2 linked regions of the Rattus norvegicus genome follow. Each later gene encodes a partner of the first gene's protein in a complex. Links are inferred from orthologs where the notes say so. Each region holds a gene or a part of one and is shown on either strand. Other genes may lie near its edges. The genes, in order: Anp32a and Nme1.

Evidence for each region.
Region 2: Anp32a (region 1) and Nme1 share a complex: the UniProt entries of both Homo sapiens proteins name them as parts of the SET complex. The link is inferred for Rattus norvegicus from reciprocal best matches to the Homo sapiens genes ANP32A and NME1.

Annotation. Positions count from the first base shown.
Region 1 is NC_086026.1:71,758,428-71,761,663, reverse strand, and holds the end of Anp32a (acidic leucine-rich nuclear phosphoprotein 32 family member A), read right to left. Parts: intron 2,208-3,236; coding exon 2,144-2,207; intron 1,958-2,143; coding exon 1,896-1,957; 3' UTR 742-1,895; downstream 1-741. UniProt on the Homo sapiens protein: Multifunctional protein that is involved in the regulation of many processes including tumor suppression, apoptosis, cell cycle progression or transcription. Promotes apoptosis by favouring the activation of caspase-9/CASP9 and allowing apoptosome formation.
Region 2 is NC_086028.1:79,410,274-79,414,743, reverse strand, and holds the start of Nme1 (nucleoside diphosphate kinase A), read left to right. Parts: upstream 1-1,433; 5' UTR 1,434-1,539; exon of another isoform or gene 1,540-1,590; intron 1,591-1,627; exon of another isoform or gene 1,628-1,794; intron 1,795-3,676; 5' UTR 3,677-3,680; coding exon 3,681-3,806; intron 3,807-4,470. UniProt on the Homo sapiens protein: Major role in the synthesis of nucleoside triphosphates other than ATP. The ATP gamma phosphate is transferred to the NDP beta phosphate via a ping-pong mechanism, using a phosphorylated active-site intermediate.

The sequences.
Region 1 (3,236 bases):
CACACACACACACACACGCTGTAAATAGTTTTTTTAAATATTTAAGTGTTATTACTTATGAGGAGGATGCTGCGGGAGAAACTAGAAATAATCCAACAATCTACCTGTTTGGTTACAATAAATCCAATCAGAACCCAGACATGAGATTAGCAGGGAACACCTAGCACTTCAGAAAACCCCAAGAACAGAGACCCAGGACCATAAATAAAAAGGTAATACAATAAATACCAGCTGTTAAGCCTAGGGTGTGTTAAATAATGTTTTATACATTCCTGAGTTTAAGTATACATTCTTTTACAATATGAAAAAAACCTCAAAGATGCTCAAAGATATTTAATTTTTTTTTTTTCCGGAGCTGGGGACCGAACCCAGGGCCTTGCGCTTCCTAGGCAAGCGCTCTACCACTGAGCTAAATCCCCAACCCCGCTCAAAGATATTTAAAAAAACAAAACAAAACAAAACAAAAAAAACCCAAGGGCTATTTATTGTTGGTCTGGTTTCTGGGTGCTTTATTTATGTATTTATTTATAAGTCTTGTACCCTTTTTTCCTCCTTCCCCCACTTTAAAAAATGTAGCCTTTAAGTAGAACATACCACTCAGGCTTGCTTTGTGAACAAAGTCTTCAACCTCCGTGTAAGAAAGCTGTTTAGCGGGTGACATGACTTCCCTCCAGGGTCAGCAGTTGATCCTAGGATGATCAATGGCTTGTAAGGACTCGAAAGAAGCCATCTCCCCCAAAATTGTATAAAAAAGATTTATTGAAATTTATCAATGACAAACAGACATAAAACTCAAAGTTTGGCTCTTCTCAGGGGCGGGAGAAAAATGAGTTACAGCTGATCTGTACAAATGAGACACAGGGTAGGAAACAGCACGTCACTTCTAAAGCAATCTGGAAGGGGGACGCTGAAGGCACACGCACTCTCTAGGAGAAATCTGCGGCCACTTCAGAGTCCCACCAGGTAAGAAAATACGAGCTTGCATTCCTTTTCCGTGCTCCTATGTATTTGAGAAGGAAAACAAACAGAACCAAAACCCAGAGGACACACAGGGCGCTTCCAGAGCTTAGATTTGTTAAAAGGTTCTAAGCTGGAGCGCCCGAGGAGTCCTCCTGCCATTTCTGTAAAACAAATTGCTCTAATATTTTACAGAACAAGATAGAACAGGTTGGCTTTTCTGAAGAAGCTGAAACACGAAGGTTCACTTCTTTCCCATTTTACGTGTCTCCTAAACCTGCCGCGTTTTGTTGTTGTTTTGTTTTCTGTTTTTTTTTCTTTTCTTTTCTTTTTGGCTCTCAGGATCACAGCCATAGAATAACAAGAGCTCTCTTTGCACTGACATCTGTGGAGGGGGAAAGGGGGTGAGAGATGGGGACTGTCCCCAAACCAGTGCCAAAATACGCCTTTTCGGTTGCTATTTACAAACCAGGGTGCTGGGTGCCTCTGGCAGCGACCACACGAACCAGAACAGGAGTTAGTGAAGAAGACGGCTCTTGGGCTGTGAGTCACCTGGTGGAGGCCAGCCACGGCCTCCTGATCAACTCTGGGGATGTGGGACATACCAGAAAAGGTTAGAGACCTCCAAGCCATCCTCTCTGGAGAGTAAGAACAAACGCTTGGTGTGCACTAAGCTATTGCAGTTATGGGGACAAAACCAGACACAGGAAAAAGGAAGGGGGAAAAGAAAGTGTGGCAGTAAAAATAGTATTTTATTCCTCCCCTCCCACCCCCACCCCACCCCCGGCAATCCCCAGTACACTTTGCCCCTCTCATTCCCACAGCAACGCTACAATCAGAAAAAAATAAGTTTCGGGGGGCAGGAATAGGAGGGGGAGGGGATATGGGTAAAAACAGTCAAATCACAATAGGAATTTCCCCAAACAGGTTAATTCCCCTTAGTCATCCTCTTCGCCCTCGTCATCGGGCTCTCGTTTTCGCTTCTGACTCCCTTCTTCTTCTGGAAAAACAAGGAAAAGGGATGGTTACCAGGCAGCCATCTTTCAGGCAGCCCTGAAACCGGAGCATATCTAGGAAGCATGAGTTATTCCCCTTGTCCCCCACTGTTTGGCCCTTAAAGCCCAAAGCAATGCTAGAGTCAAGGGGGTCAGCCTGCCACCAGGAGAGAGCAAGAAGGCTGACATACCAGCAGCATCTTCTTCATCTTCCTCATCATCCACTTCCCCGTCGTTGTAACCTTCTTCATCCTCCTAGGGGCAAAGACAGACAGCAGGGTATTAGAAGTGCCCCTGCTGGGTCTAGGGAGGCAGCTCCCCAGTTCCATCGATCCGAACATAGGAGCGGGGCCCAGCAGCACACAGGTGTATCCCAGCACCTTGGAGACAGACAGGAGCTCACCAGTAGCCAGTTTAGCCAATCAGTGAGTTCCAGGTTCAACAAGAGACCTTGGCTCAAGAGATAAGGTGGGTTGTGACTGAGAAACACAACTGACACTGACTTCTGGCCTCCACACATGCTGCATGCACACACAAGTATGTGTACACACGCTAGTGTACACACACACACACACACACACACACACACACACACACACACACACACACACGAGTTAGAGAGAGATGTCCCTGCCTAGGGAGGCCTTGCATCCCATCACAATGAGGCCTACAGCACAGGGTGAACACACAGTAGGGCTTCTTACTGTTTTGTATAAGGAGTCATTGGAGTCAGAAGACTTTCAACATGTGCCCTGAGACATTTCCCACATCAAGTAAGATATTGGTGGTTACCTTGGGTGTGGGGTCGTTTTGGACTGCCCTGTGTTAGAAAAACTGGATGTGCAGTCCCTAGAAAAAAGGCAGCTTGACAGTGCGCAGGCTCTTAGGAGACCAGGCTCCCTAGGCAGATGCCCTGTCATTGAAAGTAGGCCATCCTTTCTTGCATCTGTCCTCAATATGGTTTTAGCTTCAAGGGAAAGACCCCAGTTTCTGCAAATGAAGAATCAAGTGGACAAGCCTGGCTGTCCTTCCTGGGCCCTCCCCCCAACAAAGCCTGGGCAGCTGAAGGGGTGGGGTGCAGCAGATAGACTCAAGGGCCCTTGAGGACCTCACATCCAATGTGCTTGGGATTCAGCCAGTCCTGAAGTCATCCTCCCATTCTAGGCTCCTTGTTCTGGGTCTTTCCCAGGGTTCCATGCTGGTAGCCTCTCTGGACCTGAAGGCCTGGTTTCTACGGTTTCTATGGCATGTGGCAGCTCACTGTTTCTAAGAATGGTTGAAGTA
Region 2 (4,470 bases), on another chromosome or scaffold:
TGTGATTAGACTGTGTGTGTTTGACTGTTTGTTTTGTTTTTTTGCGATAAGCTTTTACTATGTTGTGCTGGCTAGCCTGGAATTCACTATGGAGACCAGGCTTGCCTCGAAATCACAGAGCCGTTCTGCCAACCTTGTGCTCCCACGGGCTTGTTTTGTGGGAGACATACTCTCTCTATGTCATCCAGGTGGCCTGTAAGTCTTGATGTTCTTGCTTCAGGCTTCCCAATGCTGTGAATCCATCCAGGCGAGGCCCTTCTCATTGACCAACACCCCAGTCCCTCCATTAAAACAAAAGACAAAAAGCAAGCAAACAAACAAACAAAAAAATCATGTGTGCTGGAGAGCTAGTTCAGCGGTGATAGAGCACACACTGTTCTTGTAGAAAACCCAAGTTCCGTTCCTAGCACTCACATCAGATCACTCGCAACTGTAACTCCGGCTCCGGGGAACCTGACTGCTTCATACATAGACATACACGTGTACGCCTGAATAAATAATAAGGGGTTGGAGAGATGGCTCAGTGGTTAAGAGCACTGACTGCTCTTCCAGAGGTCCTGAGTTCAATCCCCAGCAACCAACTGTAACCAGATCTGACGTTTTCTTCTGGCATGCAATTATCCATGCAGATAGAGCACTCATACATAAAATAAACACATCTTAACAAATAAACAAATACATAAACAATGCCAGATGTGGTTGCCCACTCTTTTAATCCTAGAGGGAATCTCTGCGAGGCCATGGCCAGCCTGGTCTACATAGTGAGTTCCAGGACAGTCAGGACTACATAATGAGACCCTACAATACAACAATAATAATAATAATGATAGAAAACCCTCCTTCTGCGTTTCCAAGCATCAGGTATTCACTGTAATTCTTGGCTCTCAGGTAATAATAGGCTTCCTGCCTTCATGTAGGTCTATTTGATTATCACTTCTGCAGAGATTTCCCAACCTTATTTTTTTTTTTTTTCTCTGCTCTTCTTTCTTCACAGCACTTGCACCGTATATTCGCTCTCAATTTTCTTTTTATTGTTTGCCTCAATTCTAACCCTTACCAGTAAGCCCCAAGTAAGCTCACTGCTTCCACCCTAGGTGTCAGGCACATAGTATTCAGTACATTTGTTGTTTGACAAGAGGAAGGGAAGGTGGAATGACGCGGCTACTGAAGCTCTGGTTGTGACTTCACGCAGTGTGAGCGCCACCTCTCGGGAAACCAAATTTTCTCGGGAACGAAGGAAGTGAGTCACACGGCGGGAGGGGAGAAACAAAAGATGGCCGCCAGCCAGTGGGTGGGTGGGGGTGGGGACCCAAAACACCACACCCAGTGTCGGAAGTTAGACACCGGGAGAGTGCTCCCTAGAATGACATCCTACTCCCCAGAGGAAGCAGGGATCGGCGGTGTACCGCCAAAAGGGCTCCCCTGAATCAGAACTGTATGAAAGTTCCGAGCTTGCAGCTGTAGGGAACCACGTAAGGCCAGGGCGCATTTCCGGTGCGGGCAGTCGCCACCAGAGTTAAAGACCGGGCGTCAGAAGGGGTGAGAGGGGTTCGGGTGCTGAGAGGGAAAGGAGACAGGTTGAGGGTCTAGGTGAGTGGAGAGGGCGGTGGGCGTTAAATAAAGGGTGCATTCTCCTAGAGGTGTTGCGGGAGATGGCAGGCTGTGGACAGGTACAGACCTGTCAGCTTGACACACCACGTGGGCTCGCCTTTGTCCGTGGCTGCAGTTCCTGTCAAGCTGCACGGCAGGGCTGTGCCTTATTCTCTTTCCAGACCGGTGTTGGGCACAGAGCTGGTACTTCGGCGGTGCTTGCTGAATGAATGAATAAATGAATGAGTTGAATGTGTGTGTGTGTGTGTGTGTGTGTGTGTGTGTGTGGAGAGAGAGAGAGAGAGAGAGAGAGAGAGAGAGAGAGAGAGAGAGAGAGAGAGAGATCAGTTGTTAGTTGTTTCTGGTGGCATGGCAGGCCATTTCTGAGTAATCAGTGCTTGCTTCACGTTCCTTCAGACATTCTCCAGCTAGTCTGTGGGTTCTGTCTTTTCTCTTTTTGGAAGGCGTGATCGCCACTTAAGGCATGCTCTTTGCTCCTATTGACTGCGAGGCCCTGTGACTTAGTATCAAAGCTGGGTGTATTGGCTTAGATCAACTATGCAGGTTACAGGTTACAGACAGGGGAGGCGGGAGGGGGAGGAAGACACCAACAAAATGATCATTAAAAGGTTATTTATTATTGTTTGTGTGCGCTTGTTCATGCATGTCTTGGCTCACATGTGAACACCAGAAGATAACTTTGTGGAGTGGGTTCGTGGGATCAAACTTATGCTTGTGGTACAACTCATGATCCCCTGAGCCATCTAGCTGGCTCAGGCCTCATTCTTAAGGTATACAATTAGAGGTTATCCCAAGTTTAGAAAGACAGATCCAGGCTGGGGTTGCTATCCTCTGAGGTATTGTCTTTCAGGGTGGAGTCTCCTTTCATCTTGTGAGACAGTGTTCCCTGGAAATGGAACATTCTGGAATGGATGTTCTCCAAAAGTCTTCCTTCCTGGATAATGTCCCATGTTAGGTATTGTGCTGTGGTTCTCTTACAATCCACAGTTCACTGGTTAGTCACAGTAATCATTGCCCTTTTCCCATAATACATAGTTTAATAAATGTTAATTGCTATTTTGCTATTCTTAATGGACTTTCAAATTTTTATCTTTTTATTTTCTGACAATTATATGTATGTGATATATTTAGTCATTTTACCTCCCCTCATCTTGCCTGAATTCCTTCTAAGAAGTTTCATGTCTGCTATTTTTGTCGTGTGTGTGTGTGTGTGTGTGTGTGTGTGTGTGTGTGTGTGTGTGTATGTGATTGAGTTTAATTGGAGTTGCTTGTTTGATGGATAGAGGAGTTATTTACTGTGGCATGGACAGTTTACCCATGGCTACACCAATGAAGAAAATGACCTCCCAACCATTCATTGCCAATAGCTCCCAAGGCCTTGGGTCTTCTGAGTCCCCCTCCCCAATCTATAATAGAACATAGTCATTGTTTGTTTGTTTTTTGAGTCAGGGTCTTACGTTGCCTAGGCTGGCCTGGAATTTTTTACCTTTTTGCCTTAGCCTTCCTAGGGATGGAATTACTGCCATGATTCCTCAGGCTTGGTTTTTCTCATTACATCCCAAGATGTGTCCCAAATTGCGTAGGGCTGGGAAATTCCATTCTTTGTAAAAAACAAAGATGGTTGTCATGACCTATTCTCTAAAACGCTTGAACGTCGTAGGTCAGACTGTCTTGTTCCAGATGTAACTTTGACTGGGAAAGCCACACCAGTGCCGGTTCCCCTGATGTGTGTCACTGAAAAAAGTGCTGTCTTTTTGGTGTGTGCAGGCCTTAGTTTTACATCTCCTTCCTAAGTTCCACCACACTGTTAAGGGCACAATAGAAGGGCAATGGGACCTTACTAAATCAAATGGAATAGACATTACATTTTCTGTTTTTGAGCCCTTCCTCATTTCAGGATATTAATCCATGGCTGAATGAACTGGGCAGGGATTGGGGTTTTACTAGAGAGACTTAGGGTAGGCGTAAGAGATGAAAGCCAGTTTTATGGTAGTAATCCGCTCGAAAAGGATCACACTGAACATCTTTTCAGCCCTGTCTCACTTCCCTGCCTGCCTGTCCCCAGGACCATGGCCAACAGCGAGCGTACCTTCATCGCCATCAAGCCTGATGGGGTCCAGCGGGGGCTTGTGGGAGAGATCATCAAGCGATTCGAGCAGAAGGGATTCCGCCTGGTTGGTTTGAAATTTATACAGGTGAGTGGACCTCACTCTTCCTGTTTTGAATCTTTGGAGGGCATAGTGGAACACTGCAGAGTAACTTCCGTGGTTGCCTTGTCTCCTGTCTAGACGTCTCCATGGTAGGGCGTCTTGGAGCCTGAAAACCTCTCAGTGACTAAGCATGCAGGCTGAGTCTTGGAACAAACCAAGTCATTTAGGGCTTTCAAAAATAGTCTCTCTTCCTCCATAACAGCATGAAGTCCCTCATATTACTGCAGAGCTGTAATTTCTGACTCAGCTCTGCGTGTTTTAGAGCTCTTGGTCTTTAGCCTTCTAAACAGATAATTTTAGAGACTATCCTTCTAACTCCTACACCTTACCCTTGAAGTAGGTTGTCGGGAAGAAGGTCTTTGCTTTACTAATTACTGACTGATAGTGCCTCGTGTAAATCAGGCGTGGTAAGTCGGGCTTTGGGGGAGAAATCTGCAGTTTTGCTTGTGGGGTGCTTCTGACAGAACAGAGGGAAGGGAAGCAATTCTGACATCCCTATGAAATCTATACATAGTTGTATGGCACAACTGGTCCTAATCATCCAATCACTTTCTGTGATTATGTCCATGCCACCCACTCAGATGACAGTATTCCAGTAAATGCCGAAGACTGAGCCCTTGTCAGACAAATCCATGAAGTGTGAATTCTA